4 linked regions of the Arabidopsis thaliana genome follow. The protein of the gene in region 1 purifies or fractionates together with the protein of each later gene. This does not show direct contact. Each region holds a gene or a part of one and is shown in the gene's direction. Other genes may lie near its edges.

What was found.
Region 2: the proteins of AT5G02220 (region 1) and CYCD2;1 purify together in Arabidopsis thaliana (affinity purification with mass spectrometry, with the first as the bait; one large-scale study listed by BioGRID). This does not show direct contact.
Region 3: the proteins of AT5G02220 (region 1) and EXLA1 purify together in Arabidopsis thaliana (affinity purification with mass spectrometry, with the first as the bait; one large-scale study listed by BioGRID). This does not show direct contact.
Region 4: the proteins of AT5G02220 (region 1) and CEL3 purify together in Arabidopsis thaliana (affinity purification with mass spectrometry, with the first as the bait; one large-scale study listed by BioGRID). This does not show direct contact.

Annotation. Positions count from the first base shown.
Region 1 is NC_003076.8:440,696-444,680, reverse strand, and holds AT5G02220 (cyclin-dependent kinase inhibitor), read left to right. Parts: upstream 1-2,493; 5' UTR 2,494-2,578; coding exon 2,579-2,797; 3' UTR 2,798-3,229; downstream 3,230-3,985.
Region 2 is NC_003071.7:9,552,990-9,558,391, reverse strand, and holds CYCD2;1 (Cyclin D2;1), read left to right. Parts: upstream 1-2,246; 5' UTR 2,247-2,518; coding exon 2,519-2,836; intron 2,837-3,076; coding exon 3,077-3,163; intron 3,164-3,245; coding exon 3,246-3,344; intron 3,345-3,446; coding exon 3,447-3,642; intron 3,643-3,759; coding exon 3,760-3,887; intron 3,888-3,974; coding exon 3,975-4,235; 3' UTR 4,236-4,589; downstream 4,590-5,402.
Region 3 is NC_003074.8:16,893,820-16,898,124, forward strand, and holds EXLA1 (expansin-like A1), read left to right. Parts: upstream 1-2,346; 5' UTR 2,347-2,418; coding exon 2,419-2,539; exon of another isoform or gene 2,540-2,575; coding exon of another isoform or gene 2,576-2,615; coding exon 2,616-2,910; intron 2,911-2,988; coding exon 2,989-3,370; 3' UTR 3,371-3,489; downstream 3,490-4,305. Other genes in the region: HTB9 (Histone superfamily protein), read right to left, coding at 3,673-4,125.
Region 4 is NC_003070.9:26,898,692-26,903,974, reverse strand, and holds CEL3 (cellulase 3), read left to right. Parts: upstream 1-1,998; 5' UTR 1,999-2,225; coding exon 2,226-2,420; intron 2,421-2,494; coding exon 2,495-2,998; intron 2,999-3,078; coding exon 3,079-3,228; intron 3,229-3,306; coding exon 3,307-3,418; intron 3,419-3,492; coding exon 3,493-3,986; 3' UTR 3,987-4,210; downstream 4,211-5,283. Other genes in the region: AT1G71370 (DEA(D/H)-box RNA helicase family protein), read left to right, coding at 4,594-4,863, 4,930-5,283.

The DNA of each region.
Region 1 (3,985 bases):
AATTGATATACAAAGTGGCCATATAATTGGTACTTTCGAAAAAGACATGAGAGTCTAAGTTTAGGAGGAACAACAGCTGTTTGCAATTCAGCTTTTGTTTTAATAAAGTATTTTGTTTTTTTTGATTAATTAAAGTGGCAAATAATTGGACTCTTGATCGTGAAGAAATACGAACAGAAAATCAATAAACGCAAGTGTCCCGATTAGAAACTTTGGTAACTTTTAAAAATGTTAGATATTTGTATGAAATTCCTCTTAATTAAATAATTTAATAGTTTTTAGAATTACGTGTATAAAATGTCACTTTGATCAATAGGATTTAAACTATAATTGGTGATTCTGATTTTGACTAATATAACTCTTATTTTTCCTGAACTGTTGCATTTATATCAAAAGTAGCTAGTTGGCATTGATATTGACGTCTTTGCTCTTTTTCTTTCTTTTTAAATGGTTATTTCCGGGTTTTCGATTAGTCATTTTTCTGTTCTTATTGATTAACTCAATTAATCGTCAATATCAAAATTACTCACGAATATAATTAAAATTAAATTAAGTAATAAGAGCTGTAAGAAGAGAAACACAAAGCATCTTCGTATAAATTTATACTAAATGTAAACATACTAACAACATTAACAAAGAAAACTCCATAGAGGTCCAAGAGAAGAGGTTAGATTAGTTTGGAATATAATAACAAGGGAAAATAATTAACTAAAGCTATTCTGCTAGTACAACGAGTTACGATAAAAGTCAATGTATTACTTATCATATAGTATTCATATTCAAATCGTGTTAGTGATCATATAATATTTTTTTCTTTTGGCGTATGAATCAGAAATTTATGTGTAGTTTCGTAATTCGGACTCATAGAAAAAAATTGTCAAGTCGTGGTGAAAAGGACAATCACTCAAAACTAAAGGCACTAACAAAATATTTTGTCACTCATTCGTCAAAACTTAATTGATACTATAGAAAGACATCAATATGACTCATGTATGTAGACTGAGACTCCACTACAAATTGTAGACTACAATCTCCCTGTTATTTCTCTTTTTTTTTTTTTTTTTTTTCATATATCAATTTTATATTTTTTTAATAAAAAAATCTGATAACTGAATCTCCAAAATGAAAATTAAATTACTAGGAGTCCAGGACTAGGTTTCGTTTGATATAAAAGTGGAGCCGCAAGCAATATTGCTTGATCAATTAGTATTATATAATGGTAAAAACTAATAACTAGGATTATTGTATAATTTGTACTCATGATCATCGAGAGTAGAGAATGTGATAGGCTCTCCATGTTCACATATATATACGTTGACATTTCAGTGAAACAACAAATTGCAAGAAAATTTCCTTGAGTACAACAAAGACCTGCAAACAACTCTATTTCCACATAAAATTCGTTGTTTTTATTATTTAAATAAGAAGCTCTACAATACGTCTACGTTGTAATTTAAAACGACAAGTTAAGAACTTATCTGAGGACCATTTTAACCGATGTTGAAACTAGAAGACCGAGTCAAGTGAAAAGGATTAGTAGTTGACAACAACGAAAAACATGAAGTTACAATAAACTAATTTTAATTATTAATCGCCGGAGCACCCCACATATTCTCGGAGCTCTTTTCGCCGCCGGTAATGTTTATTTTAATGGGCCAAAACGGATATATTATATAGTTAATCAGATTGGGCCGTTTAAGTTTTTTTGGGTTTTTTGCTTTCTTCTTGGGTTTGACCGATTGATACTTTTTGTGGTTTATGGGCTTCTCTTAAATTTGCTACTATAATAATTTTTTGATAATTTTATATTTCTAAAGTTTTGTTATACCATAATCAATATATAATCTTGACAAAAATCAATTACTTATAATTTTTATTTTTTGCTACGTTGGCTTGTAACTGGAGGACAAGAACAACGGTAACAGTGAGAGTGCGTTTAACTCTCAGAAATAAATCACGTGAATAACTTGGTGGAAGACCGCACGTGCCACCCTCGTGATTCATTTCCAGAAGCTATATAAGGATTAAAAAGATACCGGTTTACAATTTCGGTTTAATGTTACCAAAACCGATCGGTATACGAACATAAAATTTTCGCTGCAAAAAGGAAGGAGTCCTTTTTTAATTTTCCCGCCCAAAGGGACTTGCTGCGCAAGTTCGCGCCGTCACAAACGGATAAATTACAGATAAAAAATATTATTAAATATGATAAAAGTGGACAAAATATATATTAATATAATAAAGATTTACCAATAATGATAGTGGAGCGTGAGAAACGGTGCGGTTGGGTCACGCGTTACTTAAATTTGGTGCTACCAACCACTAAAATTCCACCACGTCAGCATAGCCAGCTCACATCAAGCTGTTTAAAACCATATCCACCGTCCGATTGATATTTCAGAAAGAGCTTCGTGAGAAAGATTCCTTTTTTGTTCTCCCTCCCAAATTTCGAATTTTTTAAAAGGAAATAATCTGAATTTTTTTTTTTTTTTTGATATATAAAATAAAGATGTAACCGCCTCTTCTCAGACTTCAAATTTTTTCCCTCTTACGACGATTTCGAGTTCGAGAGAGAAGAATGGAGGTGGTGGAGAGGAAGACGGAGATGGCGGAGGAAGGATGTACGACGCCGAGAAGCACGATGTATAGGATTCCGGTGGCGTCTGTTTGTCCACCGCCGCCGAGGAAGAAGTTGATGGTGGTGAGAAAACGAGATCCGCCGAGGAACGGGTACTTTCAGCCACCAGATCTTGAAACTTTGTTCTACGCACAGCCTCGAAGAGAAGCTTGCGCTTAGATTTTGAGATTTGATTTGATTTGAATTATCTAGGTTTTTTTTTTACTTTCTTCTCTGTAGATACATGTTTAGGGTTTGTTCTCTTATTAGATTTTATTTATCTTTCAGAGAGATGACTTTGTTTGTGTATCGAAATTGGAATTTGCTAAAATGAAACTTTGATCTGTTTTCCAATTCGAAATTTGTTGGCTTGTGTTCTAGATCTAATTAGTTCTTGTCGGAGATTGAAAGATTGATTGTTAAACTCTGATTATGCTGTTTATTGATTAGAGAGTTTTTTTCAACTACATAATTGGGTGAGAAAGTGAGGTTTAGAAACTGTGAACAAGACAACATCAAAAGCTTAACGAAAATTCAGATGAACCAATGTCTTTATTTGCTCTGTTTTTTTGGTTATTCATAAGTGTTGAAAAAGTAGTGCTCAAACTCTTTGATCAATGGTTGGTTTTTGAGGTAGTTTCTTCGGAATCTGCAATTCAAATGAATGTCATACAATTTTGTAATGCGTGACACTAAAATATTGACTCATGTAGGTGAGTAAAGTCTTCAACATCTTCGTGTGTTTTATGATTAACTTTGGAACAACACTGGTCCAAGCTTGATGTAACATAACCAGAACCATAACTTCCGGTTGAATGATTAGACATGTGTCCTTGCCGGTTTTTGTGTCCCAAATAAGGTTCTGGGAGAGACGCAAAAGGGGAGGTCTCATTGCCGGTTTTTGTGTACTCCATGGCTCCATGGCATATAAGAGCATTTCAGCAGATTCTATGTCGGATGAAGAATCAGGAAGAGAAGCTTGTTGCTCCAGACAAAAGTGCTTCCGTAGGGGTAAACATGGCTGATTCTTCAACACAGTTTCCTCTTTTTGCTCTGAGTCACAAGGTTTCCGCAGTGACTATCATCAGATCGTTGATATCGCTGAAAGCAAATAGTCGTATAGTAAAGGTCATATATTAACTTATTTTCCATGAGAGTAAAGAGATGACTATCTACAATTGTAACTTCCAAGTTAATTTCTTAAGTATAAAGTATCCACACCGTTTAACTAAAGACAACATTTTACATTTAACATAGGTACCACTGAGATGAAGAGGAAGGATCTCTTAAAGTACAAATCTTGTTAGTCCAGAATCTAAATCCACAAGTACTTTGTTTGAATATAGCAAAGATAAGCTATGCTAGCTA
Region 2 (5,402 bases), on another chromosome or scaffold:
TGAGGAGTCCACTATAACCCATTAAACTATTCTTAATAGCTCTATTTCATTTGATTGTTGAATCTCGTTTTATTTGCTTGTTGTTAAACTCTATTGTTTTACTCGACTGTTGAACTCGACTTGCTTGCGTCTGATCATTTATGCTTCTTTGATTTTGAGTTGAAGTATGTGTTCCTGGTCTTTAGTGCTTTATTGATTTGTGTTCCTTGTTTTTCTTTAGTACTGGTAATCTTGCATTTTCTTTAGTTTATTGTTTTGTTTACTTTTGGTCTTTAGTTTCAATTGATATGCATGCTGCTTCATTGCTTAGTTGTTTAGTTCTTTACATTCTCCTTAGTATAGTTGCATTTGAATTTGGTATTGCATGTTAATCTATTGTTTAAGTTCAATAGAAACCCAAACCTTATCATATTTGACTTGACTTGACTTAAATAATTGTTGTTTATGTCTTGAATATTTGCAATCACACAAAGGATTGGATTGATACCCTTCTATGCTGCAATGATATTGATATGCTTAGTAGGGAATTCATAGATCATTGAGATAGTAAAGTATAAAATGGTTCTCTGAGACAAATTTTTGGCCTTGGTTATAAAGAACAAACTGTTTAGTATTGCTGAGATGTGGCATGTAGTTGTTATAGGCTCTCTGATTCTGAATGTAATTTATCTATTCAGTTTGAGAAGTCTCTCCTTCTTGGATTTAGAAGTATTTTTCTTTAGTAATATAGTGGGATGGCCTCAGTTGAGATAATAAAAGCGTGTCCAAACGAAACTGATAGTTTTGATTCCAAATGGAGATTATTTTCTAGAACCTAAAAACCCCAAAACAAAAAAAAAATCCGGAAATAAAGTTGTTTAGTAATTTTTCTTCAGTGACTTCCACTCCTTAGATAATCAATATCGTAATTGTTGTCATTGTTACTAGAAAACACATAAAATAATTTCCAAAATTTATATGTTAAGTAATATGTTGGAAACCCTAAAATCTGATGTTTGCTTGAGCTCATATCGCAACTTGTACGTTTACGTGAAGTCTAATCCACATCTGACTACTGCTAAAGTTAGTTTATCCTATTTAGTTTCTTCTGTAGTGGGGATATAATTTTCATAATCGTGACCGCTTCATAACAATGTCGAATGGGCCAAATCCGCGAACACTTCACCTAGTTAAAAGTTAAAAACCTAATAAAGGTGAGTTACATTACCTAAATCTTGATTTGAACTAAGCAATTTTCATGCTATGCGGGTTAGATTTCTAAAATTATTAGATCATTTATTAGCAAATATCTTTTGTATCAGATTACTTTGCCATATAACTAGGTGTTTAAGAATAGAGGAAGGATGTGAACACATGTTGAAAATGATGTCTAAACGATCGAATCCAAATTAACACTTATAAATCGATCCGGAAAATCATGAAAATGAAAAGAAATGTATAGTGTTAGTTAAACTGTAATTAACTTAAACATGACAAAATATTTTATATAAGTGAAGTTACTAAATGATTCGTCTTAATAGAAACATAGCCTTAGCTATATATTTTTTTCCTTAGGTTGGATGTTTCCACAACTCCGCATTTCATATTTTGTTTCTAAGGTTATGTGGTGGTAGTCCGATGTTTTAGGTCAAGTTTTGGTCGATGGTTCTTCTTTCTATCTTTGACATTTTCTTTTCTTGGCTTTCAATCAGTCTTTCATATCTACTACAGCGGTAAAAACAGTTGGGCGTCTTTAAGTTTATTCTACTCTAGTTCAAAATCATAAGTGATTGAGATCTTATTAGTTATTGTTTTTTCGGTTTATATCTCGACGTTACCGATGTTGGCGAATAGCACAAGGTTCCCTAACCTTAACCTCAAAAGAAAGATCCACTAAATAGAAGTAAATAAAGCATATGATTCAATTTCAGAAGTTTACAAAACACTAAACAAGAACATGAAAACCAAAAAATAGTGAATTGTCTTCTTTTTTGGGAATAGTATCTCTGGAGATTTCAACATTTATGACCAACTTATTTTTTTGGAATACTTTTTTTTTATCGTTGACTTTATGTAATTTCTAAATTTTACTATGACAATTTTTTTTTTTTTTTTTTTTTTGTCGTTTTTACTATGACAATTTAAATTTAGTTTATAAGGACTTGTGATATTAAACTATTAATAACAATATGATTTAAATTTTAAATATAATTTATATTTCCACATATTGTTCTTAGTGTATATTCTCTGTATTTTCCATTTCGAGTCTGTGGAGTGGTCTCTCCCCTCTCTACCCTAAAACACACTCACCCACTTTCCTCTGTATAAGCCTCTCTCTCCTCTCTCTTCTCCTCTGCCATGAAAATCGCAGTTCCTCAAGACAAAACCTCCTCAGAAATCTCCCATCTTTGATGACTTTTGCTTCCTTAGTTTTCACTTTCTTGTCCGAACGCTCTCAAAAACTTTGAGACCACCCCAATAAACGAATTAAACAGACTATTATCAATCAATACACAACACAACAATCAAACCAAACCCCATGGCTGAGAATCTTGCTTGTGGTGAAACCAGCGAGTCATGGATCATTGACAACGACGATGATGATATCAACTATGGCGGCGGATTTACGAACGAGATTGATTACAATCACCAACTTTTTGCTAAAGACGACAACTTTGGCGGCAACGGATCAATTCCGATGATGGGTTCTTCTTCATCGTCCTTGAGTGAAGACAGAATCAAAGAGATGTTGGTGAGAGAGATTGAGTTTTGCCCTGGAACTGATTATGTTAAGAGATTGCTTTCTGGTGATTTGGATTTGTCTGTTCGAAACCAAGCTCTTGATTGGATTCTAAAGGTATGTGATTTCTTCTTTTGATTGCTTTGATCTGTGTTGTGTTTTAAGACAAACCTCAAATCTGGTTTGGTCTCTTTTTGTGCTTTGTGATTGAGTTTAAGTGTGTTCTTTGATCAGTTTGATAGCTCATTCATTCTCTGATGTATTTATTATAGATTAATTGAATCTTCTCTATAGATTGAGGTATTGATCTTGTTGAGTAATTGAGTTCTTTTGTCTTTAATGCCAATTGTTCTACAGGTTTGTGCTCATTACCATTTTGGACATCTGTGCATATGCCTATCCATGAACTACTTGGATCGGTTCTTAACATCCTATGAATTGCCGGTAAGTTGCATCGTCTTTGCGGATTGGTTTCATCGTATTCGAGACAATACGATGACCGGTTTGTGTGTTTTCGATTGCGTAGAAAGACAAGGATTGGGCTGCTCAGTTACTAGCTGTGTCTTGCTTATCATTAGCATCCAAAATGGAAGAAACTGATGTGCCTCACATTGTTGATTTACAGGTGCAACTTACATTTAGTCCTTAATAGCTTCAGTCTTCTTACGAAGAGTCGAAAATCGAGGTTTTAGTGGAACTAATCTTGAAATGTTGTTCCTATGAGCAGGTGGAAGATCCCAAGTTTGTTTTTGAGGCCAAAACAATAAAAAGGATGGAGCTTTTGGTTGTCACCACTTTGAATTGGAGATTGCAAGCTCTAACTCCATTCTCCTTCATTGATTATTTCGTTGACAAGATCAGTGGTCACGTGTCGGAGAATTTGATCTATAGATCGTCAAGATTCATCTTAAACACCACCAAAGGTGCGTCATTTATTGATCAGAAGCAAGCTATAACAACATTCTTTCTTTATTTGCAACTAACTTGGCTTTGTTTAATGAGGAAGGCTGATACGTTTCTGTTTATAAAATTGAATGCAGCAATTGAATTCTTAGACTTCAGGCCTTCTGAGATAGCTGCAGCTGCTGCAGTGTCTGTTTCCATTTCAGGAGAAACAGAATGCATTGATGAGGAAAAGGCACTGTCTAGTCTCATATATGTAAAACAGGTAATTAACATTCGGTATGATAGCGAAAGACTTAAACCTTTACTGTTTCAAGAACACACATTTCATCTGATCATTGTCTTCCTTTAGCAGGAGAGGGTGAAGAGATGTTTGAATCTGATGAGAAGTCTCACTGGGGAGGAGAATGTGCGGGGAACTAGTTTATCGCAGGAGCAGGCGCGAGTTGCGGTAAGAGCTGTACCTGCAAGTCCAGTTGGAGTGTTGGAAGCAACATGTTTGAGCTATAGGAGTGAAGAGAGAACAGTTGAGTCATGTACAAATTCCTCACAGAGTAGTCCAGACAACAACAACAACAACAACAACAGCAACAAGAGGAGGAGAAAACAATGAGAGAGAATAAAAGAGTCATACATTGCTTTTTACAACCCAAAACCACAAGTACTCATGACATTTGAGGTTCTTATTTATTTTTTTGGTTTTTTTTTTCTACATAAATTTTCTTTTTCTTTCTTTGATTTCTCATTTTCAATCTGAAAATTGGATTGAATATGAGAGTTTTGTGAGAAAGGAAAAAAGAAAATAAGAGAGAGAGAGAGAGCTCTTTGGAAGGCGGCAAAATTAATAAGTCATTATTGATGATGATGAGAGACATCCCTGTTCTTGCTCCAAGGGACTTTTTTTTTTCTACATAATGTCAGAGATATAATTAAAAAAAAAAGAAATAGAAAGAGAATTAATTTTATGATTTTTGTGTCCTCAAATATGCACTATAGTATATATCTTTTATTTTAACATATGTCAGAAGTTATAAAGTATCATATAATGCAGTAGAGATTATTTTAAATTTATATTAAAAAAAACTTTTATCACAGAAAAATCTATATTCTCTCCATTTTACAAAAAATTTGTTGTTCCTATAAATATGCATATATCATGTTAAAAAAAACTGTTGTTCCGATAAATTTTTATCACATAAAAATCTATATTTTCTCCATTATCGGAACATACAATTTTTTCTAAACTGTTCTAAATCACATCGTAGTGACATGAGATTACATTTTTGTGAATGTAGTATTGAATTGGAACACTGTAAATATTGATGACTCTAGTACCTATAATTTAAATTCAAATTATTTAGAAGCTTTTCAACAATTAAGTAAGATATTCCTAAATATTTTCAACAATTAAGTAAGACATTTCCAAAAAAAATTTAAAAATAATACTAAATTTGTGCTATTTGTGGAACATTCGAAAACATGTGATATTTTTTTTGAAACTAAACTTATTTTTGCCCTTAAATATATTCAAGTTCTTACTATTCTCAAGAACTTCTAGTTATAAAAAGAAGTACAATTGACATTATTTAAAATTAAAATAATTTCTAAAACGATATACAAGAGAATTTATTTTTAAAAACCCTTACTATTTACCTGGTTACTGGTTAGTAACTTATTACATATTAATACAACCCTTGAATTTTATGTATTTTTACTATTATCTTTGCTTTGAAAAAAAATATCTAATTTTCCCAACAACAAAAATACTTAATTGGTTTAA
Region 3 (4,305 bases), on another chromosome or scaffold:
AACAAACAAACACCCTTTATAGGATATATACATGTATGTGTAACAGAGTTCATTATTTAATGAGTTGAAGAATTCACAACAGGAGTGGCTTATATAATCTGGATTAAACAAAAGAACTAGAGAGTAAAGGTCATGCTAAAAGCTAGAGTCCATGTCACCAAAAAAAACAAGAAAAACAAAAAATGTCACTTATCATTGCAAGCAAGAATCCGACAAGAAAAAAAAAACATATCTTAGAGATGTCTAACAATTGGAAAACAATAATGTATGGAAAGGTTTAAGATAGGTCAAAGAAGAAACTGTTGTGTCTTTATATAAATTAGTAAGGAAACATAGTCAAAAAGGTTTCGTGGTGTAGTTGGTTATCACGTCAGTCTAACACACTGAAGGTCTCCGGTTCGAACCCGGGCGAAGCCATTTATTAATTTTGATTTTTTTTTGATAAATTTCCGGTTCAAATATGCGTTGAACGTAGAGATTTGATTGAATCTGAAATCTAAAAATCGCAGGCTTAAGTTAGTACTTGAATCATTGTTATATTCGCAGTTATCTTGAGATTTTCGTACTGTACATTTCAATATTTTATCCATCTTGATACATTTACATATGTTGTGATTTATAATTAGCTAGAAAATCCCCTCACAAATAACTATTTAACTAAATGGAAATCAATCAAAGATAATGTCTCATTCTCATCTATAAAGTCTTAAGCATCTCTTCAGTGAAATTTCTAAAGTTAAAGCTGGTGATATATACATCTATCCTATAGGTTTCAAGTTTTTTAGTATGTCAAGCAATGCAACCGCTGCAATATAAGTGCAACTATTTTGAAAATAAAACATTTCTAATGTCATTTGAAGTGGCTTGAATGAACCCAACTACACGATGGACTCACTTAAACAATACTCACCTCACTGGACTCCTTTAAAGCCCGCACCACTAAAAAAAATATACTCTTCTTGTTACTAGACATTAGCCTATACCAAATCCCATTAGCCTTAATTTTCGATATGCATCATTAATAAAAGTCAGTGGTTGATAAAGAAATCTTACACACAAAAAAAACTTATATATTGTATATCCCGACAATGAAAAAAAAGAGATATAGAGGGGAGTATTATGAAGATATCTTCACATGTAGTAATCAATGCCGTATGAGTCGTTCTCACATGGATGTTTTAAGGTACCAATCTTTGAATATTTTGAAGATTTCAATAACTCAAAATCAACAAAATCTAACATACAAACTTTTGACATGTCCGAATTAATACTAACACATGTATCGATAGAGTTTAGTGATAAATCACTTAGCCCTAATGCTCTACATCTAATTATTAAATGTGTAGACTTTCATTTTTATAAGCTGGTTTGTTAGTGGAAATGAGTTGTTATGAACTAAATCCTAGCTAATCCCTAGGGAAAAAAAACTTGGGTAGATTTTTCATTTTAATTAACGAACGATACAAAGACGTGTGTAGAGTCTATAGACGAAGTGATGAAAAGGGTTTAGGCAAAAAGAGAAAGATAGAAAGAAAGTGAAATTGGTTTTGGAATTTGTTCTTATCTTTCCCCTACTTCCCAAAGCAATCCCGTTTTTCAGGTTTGTCTCTATTATTAAAATTCATTCTTAACTTGATATGGTAAGACGTGTTTATAGATACACTTACTGATTTTATAATAAAAATGCAAGGATTTTTGAAATCTGTTAAAATCAAATCTTTATCAAAATGTAATAAAATCAATAAACGAGGAATACCATATTTCAAAAGTATTAAGCGAATAAAAACACGATTTTATTTTTAAAAACTTTGGTATCAACGTTATGATAACACATGATTATGTTTAGATTTTTAAATCAATTAAAATCCGATAACTCTCACTAATATTTTTCTTTTATATGTTTTAGTTGGCACAAATTAAAAAAAAAATCTATCCCAAATTTTTTAAATATATGTATTATTATTGGTTAGGTTTTAAAAAAGAACAAATATGGGTTATTTCGTTTATTAATTAGTTTCGACACTCTAACAAATGTTTTGTCCCTTACCTAAAGAGAAGACCGTCATGAACAAAGCAAAGAAAAGAGTCGGTGTAACGCCACATCATCCCATGACTCATATTGGTAAAACTATCTTCTCTCTTTCACACTTCTTCTTTTTACTTTGGACTAATGATTTAATCAAAGATGTCATTTTAACATATATGTATAAAACGCGTAATTGGGAAGATACACACACACACATACCAGCTATGACGTGACAGTGTGTGTTAGATATTGAGATGATGAGCTGGCATCAACCTCTCTATAGTCTCTATATAATCCATTCTTTGTCCTCTCTTCTCTTTACATGTAAATTCACATATCTCTCTCTCTTATTTGATCATAAAGATATTATTGCTTCTTCAAGTAAACAAAAAATGGGAAGCTTTCTCTTCCTCATCGTAGTCATCTTCCTCTTCTCTTCATCCGTTAACGCTTGTGATCGATGTCTTCACCGTTCTAAAGCAGCTTATTTCTCCTCTGCCTCTGCTCTCTCTTGTAAACATTTTAACTACTTCTTTTTTAACTATCTGTATGTTTCTTTTCTCATGTCTTGTTTATGTGTTTTTTGCAGCTGGAGCTTGTGCTTATGGCTCTATGGCTACGAGTTTCTTCGCCGGACATATCGCTGCAGCTATCCCTTCTATCTACAAAGACGGTGCTGGCTGTGGAGCTTGCTTTCAAGTCAGATGCAAGAACCCTAAGCTGTGTAGCACTAAAGGAACCATTGTGATGATCACAGACTTAAACAAGAGTAACCAAACCGATCTTGTCCTTAGTAGCAGAGCTTTTAGAGCTATGGCTAAACCTATTGTTGGTGCTGACAAAGACCTTCTCAAACAAGGCATTGTCGACATCGAATACCAAAGGTTCGATTCTCAAAACACCTAAACTCTTTGGTTTTCTTAATCACACGATATTAACTTGGTCATCAAAAAAAAAAACAGAGTTCCTTGCGATTACGGCAACAAGAACATGAACGTGAGAGTAGAAGAAGCAAGCAAGAAACCAAACTACTTAGAGATAAAGCTTTTATACCAAGGAGGTCAAACAGAAGTAGTATCCATCGACATTGCTCAAGTCGGTTCATCGCCAAATTGGGGTTACATGACAAGAAGCCACGGAGCTGTTTGGGTAACTGACAAAGTACCCACCGGAGCTATCCAGTTCAGGTTCGTAGTAACCGGTGGATACGACGGTAAAATGATTTGGTCACAGAGTGTTCTTCCATCCAATTGGGAAGCTGGGAAAATTTACGACGCCGGTGTTCAAATCACTGACATTGCTCAAGAAGGTTGTGATCCTTGCGATGCTCACATCTGGAACTAAGTTATTTAGTGGCACACAAACAAACATCTTTCATAGGTTTATATATAATGTGTGACAGAGGTTATTAATGAACATAGTTAAAGAATGCTTAATCTAATGATTCTCATGATTCTACATTGATTAAACAAGAGAACAACATTGAGCCATTAACAACCAGAACTTTTGATTCGAAGACAGATTCATAAGATTACTTTACAACGGAGAATGATAATTAAAGCTTAATAAAACGAAAGAGAAATCCTAACACAAGTTATGACAACATCAGAATCAAATTCAGAGTATACAAACCCTAATTTACTAATTCAAGAGCTTGTGAATTTGGTAACAGCCTTGGTTCCTTCAGAAACAGCGTGTTTAGCGAGCTCACCAGGAAGAACGAGTCTAACAGCAGTCTGAATCTCCCGAGAAGTAATCGTCGGCTTCTTGTTATACCTAGCGAGCTTTGAAGATTCCGATGCCAATTTCTCGAAGATGTCGTTGATGAAACTGTTCATAATACCCATAGCCTTGCTTGAAATACCAATATCTGGATGAACTTGTTTCAGAACCTTGAAGATGTAGATCTTGTAAGTTTCCACACTCTTCTTCTTCATCTTCTTCTTCTTATCGCCGCCGGCCCCGGCTTCCTTCGGGAGTTTCTTGCCGGCTTTTGGTTTCTTCTCCGCCGGAGCTTTCTCGGCTTTTGATTTCTCCTCTACTGGTTTCTCGGCGGCTGGTTTCTTCTCCGCGGGCTTCTTCTCTGCTCTCGGCGCCATTGTTTTGACTTTTGTTTTACTTTTCTGGGTGAAGAAGAAGAAGCACAGATCTGAGTGATTTTGATATCTAATTTGATGAAGACGAGTTTTGATTTTATAGTAGTTAGAATAATTGATATGATTGGTTATTAGATGTTGACGAGGATCGATGAGATGGGAGATCGCAACCGTTGAAATTGT
Region 4 (5,283 bases), on another chromosome or scaffold:
TGCCTGTGAAGGCCCATTAATACGAATAGCCTACATATATGTGCTAATTTAAATCCCTAATACAGTACATAGTCGTGCATCTATATATAAATATATAATAAATCTACATTTATTTTGGTGTAGTTTTTATTATAAAGAAAGAGTCAAATGGTTACTAGAGGATCCAAGTCCAACTTTAGCAATCAAATCTTCGGCTAAAAAAATTTCCTCCAAAATTTTCCTCGCATAGTCGTGGATGGTATCCACTGTTTGTCCTCCTCAACAAAATGTAAAAGCCATTCAGAAGTACAAACATGAAAGAATAAAAAGAAAACACCTTTTTGACAAAAAGGATACAAAAAAATCATTTGCCAACAAAACAACCGAAAATTCTTCGAGTAGTATCAGTGGGTAGGGCCACCAGGAGTAAAAAAATCATTAAGCATGTGAGTAAAAAACAAGAGATAAACTGTTGCTTAATTCTGAAATCTCTCTTGATCTATTTATTATTCTCATGCAAACCATTAATCTTTACGGGAGAAAAATATTAGTATGATATTTTGAGTCCTGATTGCGACTAGTGATATCGAATGATTACAATTACTAATAAGTATTACCTGAAGCTTTCATCACGCGTCTGCTTAAACATTGATAAATACATTATACCCAAGTTAATCATTCTCTTAACTCATATAATGTCAGAAGATCAATGACATCGAGCAGACACGTTGTCGCCTTTTTACTCGCTTTTGTTATTACACAAGCTAAACAAAAAGAATGTCCCATGAAAGAAAAAGCAAATAAAGAGAGTAATACTATAATAAACACATGGGATAAGAAAGTGGATTAAGGCATCAATTTCGTCTCCATTACACTAAACACACACTTTTGATTACGTTCCAAGACTCGGCGCCGTTATCTTGGCGCCATTCACGCTTCCCTTTTATCTTTTGTCTCCTCTTTTTAAATTCAAAATCACTTAATCCCCCTAACCTAATTCAACTATGCACTCCCTAACTATACCCATATATGAACATATTCTTACTACGGTAGATCCATTTTAACCCCGAAACTGCCCATTTCAAAATTTTAAACAGTCTATGTATATCGTAACTAGGAAATATATTAAAAACAAACTTAGGTTTGCATAAAAGGAAAACGTTACTTGTTTAGCAAGTATTAGATATCTTAGAAATAAAATCGTTTAGTTAGGAATCATTTCCAATTCAGTAGGTGTGATTGAATGTCGATTTTATATGGTTCAGTTGATTTATGAGACAAATATTAATGGGGTCATAATTTGTAGCATTTTTATAGGAAACAGTTTAAATATCAAATATTGGTTTGTTAAGTTAATATACGTTGGATATTTGCTTTGCATTAAAATATGAAACCATTTACTTTACAAGTATATTGTATATACACGATAAATTGAAAAAATCAATGATTAAATGTCGTTTGGATTTTATGTAGGAAAAATCTCAAAAAGGGAACGATCTGATTCGATTGCAAAAAAAAATCGGATCAAAATCTCATATAAGGAAAAATACGAATCAAAGACTTCCGCTTCAAATTTTTTTTTTTGAAATCCATCCGATTAATTTTTTTAAAATACATAGATATCAGTATATCAAAAAACTGAAAACTCTTCCGTCTTTTGAGAATAAAAGAGTCCAACTTTTGCATTCGACATTTGACTATAACAGTATCTTTTCGAGAAGACGCAAAGTCGTTACGTGCGTTTATATTTCGTTTATTCATGTCCCAATACTACCTCTTAGGAAATAAGAGACTATTAAGACTTTCTTGCTTCCCAATACACCCCCACTAATATCAAATAACCTAGTTTAATTTCTTCCGTTTCTCAACACTTTTAAGAAAATACTTAACAATTGACATAAAAGAAAAAACGTACAGAGGAATTTGAATGGACAAACAAAGGTGAAACAACTAGAATGGACAAACAAAGGTGAAACAACTAGAATTTAACAATAGACAAAAAAAAAAGAAAAGGATTTGGTTAAGCAATATTAAGGTATGAACTAACCTAAACCATAAAATAGTAAAAAAGGAGGATTAAGGTTACTTTGTTTAGGAGCAGCACGTTGATAACCAAAAAGCCATAATTATCGCTTCCTTCAGCGCAGGATCCTTCTCTCTCCTATCTCTCTGTATATATATGTGGACCTTCACGTAATAGCTTCGTACTTCAAACCTCAAAAGCAATTTAGCTCTCTGTCTTCAAGATGACTTCTCTTTTCTTCTTTGTTCTCCTTTTCTCGTCTCTTCTCATAAGCAATGGCGATGCCAACCCAAATTACAAAGAAGCTCTCTCCAAGTCATTGCTCTTCTTCCAAGGTCAGCGATCTGGTCCTCTTCCTAGAGGCCAACAAATTTCCTGGAGGGCTAGCTCTGGCCTTTCCGATGGCTCTGCTGCTCATGTACACACCTTAAACCATATTTAACTTTGATACAGAATATATCTTTGTTAGTAACATTGATATATGAATTGCAGGTGGACTTAACCGGCGGGTACTATGACGCAGGAGACAACGTCAAGTTCAATTTACCAATGGCGTTTACCACCACAATGCTCTCATGGAGCGCACTGGAATACGGTAAACGGATGGGTCCTGAGCTGGAAAATGCACGTGTGAACATCCGTTGGGCCACAGATTATCTGCTGAAATGTGCCAGAGCCACGCCGGGGAAGCTTTATGTCGGTGTAGGAGATCCTAATGTTGATCACAAATGCTGGGAACGGCCTGAAGACATGGACACACCACGTACAGTTTACTCTGTATCCGCTTCCAATCCTGGTTCTGATGTCGCAGCTGAAACAGCAGCAGCTCTAGCTGCAGCTTCTATGGTTTTCAGAAAAGTTGATTCCAAGTATTCACGTTTGCTGCTCGCAACAGCTAAGGATGTGATGCAGTTTGCCATTCAGTACCAGGGAGCTTACAGTGATTCCCTTTCCTCATCTGTCTGTCCTTTCTACTGCTCCTACTCTGGTTACAAGGTCTGCTTTCACATGAAACTAAACCACTCTTACCACTACATCAGATCCTCATTTTTAAAAATGTGAATTTATGAACACAGGACGAGCTAATGTGGGGTGCGTCATGGCTGCTAAGAGCAACGAATAACCCGTATTACGCAAACTTCATAAAATCTTTAGGAGGTGGAGATCAGCCTGACATCTTCAGCTGGGACAATAAATATGCTGGTGCCTATGTTCTTCTCTCACGGGTTTGTCTCTCTGCTAATAAAAACTCATTGAGAACATAGCTTTTAGCATCACACTATCTAACTTTTACATTTTGGCAGAGAGCATTACTTAACAAAGACAGCAACTTTGAACAATATAAGCAAGCAGCTGAGAATTTCATCTGCAAAATCCTTCCAGATTCTCCTTCTTCCTCTACCCAATACACTCAAGGTAACCTACTTCACGATATAGAACACAAATTGCTAAACAACAACCTCTTCTAATCATATGTTTACCAATTACAGGAGGATTAATGTACAAGCTACCTCAAAGCAATCTTCAGTACGTAACCTCCATAACATTCTTGCTCACAACTTACGCCAAATACATGAAAGCCACAAAACACACATTCAATTGCGGAAGCTCCGTTATCGTCCCCAACGCCTTGATAAGCCTATCGAAGCGACAAGTTGATTACATACTCGGAGATAACCCAATCAAAATGTCATACATGGTTGGATTCTCTTCCAATTTCCCTAAGAGAATCCACCACAGAGCATCTTCTCTTCCTTCACACGCACTTCGTTCTCAATCGTTAGGCTGCAATGGTGGATTCCAATCGTTCTACACTCAAAACCCTAACCCTAACATTCTCACCGGAGCAATCGTAGGAGGTCCGAATCAAAACGATGGGTATCCAGATCAGAGAGACGATTATAGTCACGCGGAACCGGCGACTTATATAAACGCCGCCTTCGTCGGACCTTTGGCGTACTTCGCCGCCGGCCGTTCGACTTGAAATTGAATTCGCCACCGCCACATTCTCCGATTTGTAGTTCCATTGTTAGTTAAAGATCCGTTGGTCCAAGCCTAACGTGAAAATCAGAAGGGACAAAGTTATTTAAATGTAAAACTCTTAATGGGCTAAGACCCAATACTAAAGGACCCGACGGAAATATTTCTCGTGGTCTTATTTAACTCTAACCATCATCATTACGCGTTTCAAATATTCAACCAAGGCCGTTAATTAAGCACCACGGAAATATTTCATGTTTGGTTATAGCACCATGAAAGAACACTAGAATATTTACTTGTCAATTATGTCATGAAAGAACACTAGAATATTTACTTGTCAATTATGTCATCAGTACAAAGATTAAACAGCTGAAAGATATGCATTAAGTAGGAAATGTAAAGACAAAATATCGTTTTCTGCTAAAAGGAATTACACATATGCCAAACAATGGGCCGAGAGAGAATTGAAACTAATGGGCCGAGAGATATTTTTTCTCTTAGTGGGCTTTTAGGAGAAACTGTAGCAAAAACAACAGATTTCGAACAAAATTTTGATGTAGATCATAGCTAAAAAATAATCTGGAGTGAGCGACAAGCAAGCGGCGGCCGTCATGGATTCATCGCCGCCGAAGACTATCACCAAGGCTCTGCCGCGTTTCTCTGAACTCAAACCTCCGCTCTCAGAAGATATCATCGAGGCGCTTGACCGGTCCGGTTTCGAGGTCTGCACTCCGGTTCAGGCCGAGACGATCCCTTTCCTCTGCAGCCACAAGGATGTTGTCGTCGACGCAGCCACTGGTTCTGGAAAAACCCTAGCTTTCCTCCTTCCCTTCATAGAGATTATCCGTCGATCCAACTCCTACCCTCCGAAGCCACACCAGGTAAGGAGAATTAGCCGAATATCAAGAGTAGTAGCTTATGCTATATGTTAACAATTTCAATCTCAGGTAATGGGGGTGATTATATCGCCAACTAGAGAGCTATCAGCGCAGATACATAAGGTGGCAGAGCCATTTGTCTCGACTTTGCCAAATGTGAACTCTGTCCTGCTTGTTGGAGGTCGAGAGGTGGAAGCTGACATGAATACTCTCGAAGAAGAAGGAGCCAATCTCTTGATCGGCACCCCTGGAAGGCTTTCAGATATGATGAAACGAATGGAGTTTCTGGATTTTCGAAATCTCGAGATTCTTATCTTAGATGAGGCCGATAGACTTTTGGATATGGGGTTCCAGAAGCAGGTCAATTACATTATATCTCGCTTGCCAAAGCAACGTAGGACTGGCCTCTTTTCAGCTACACAA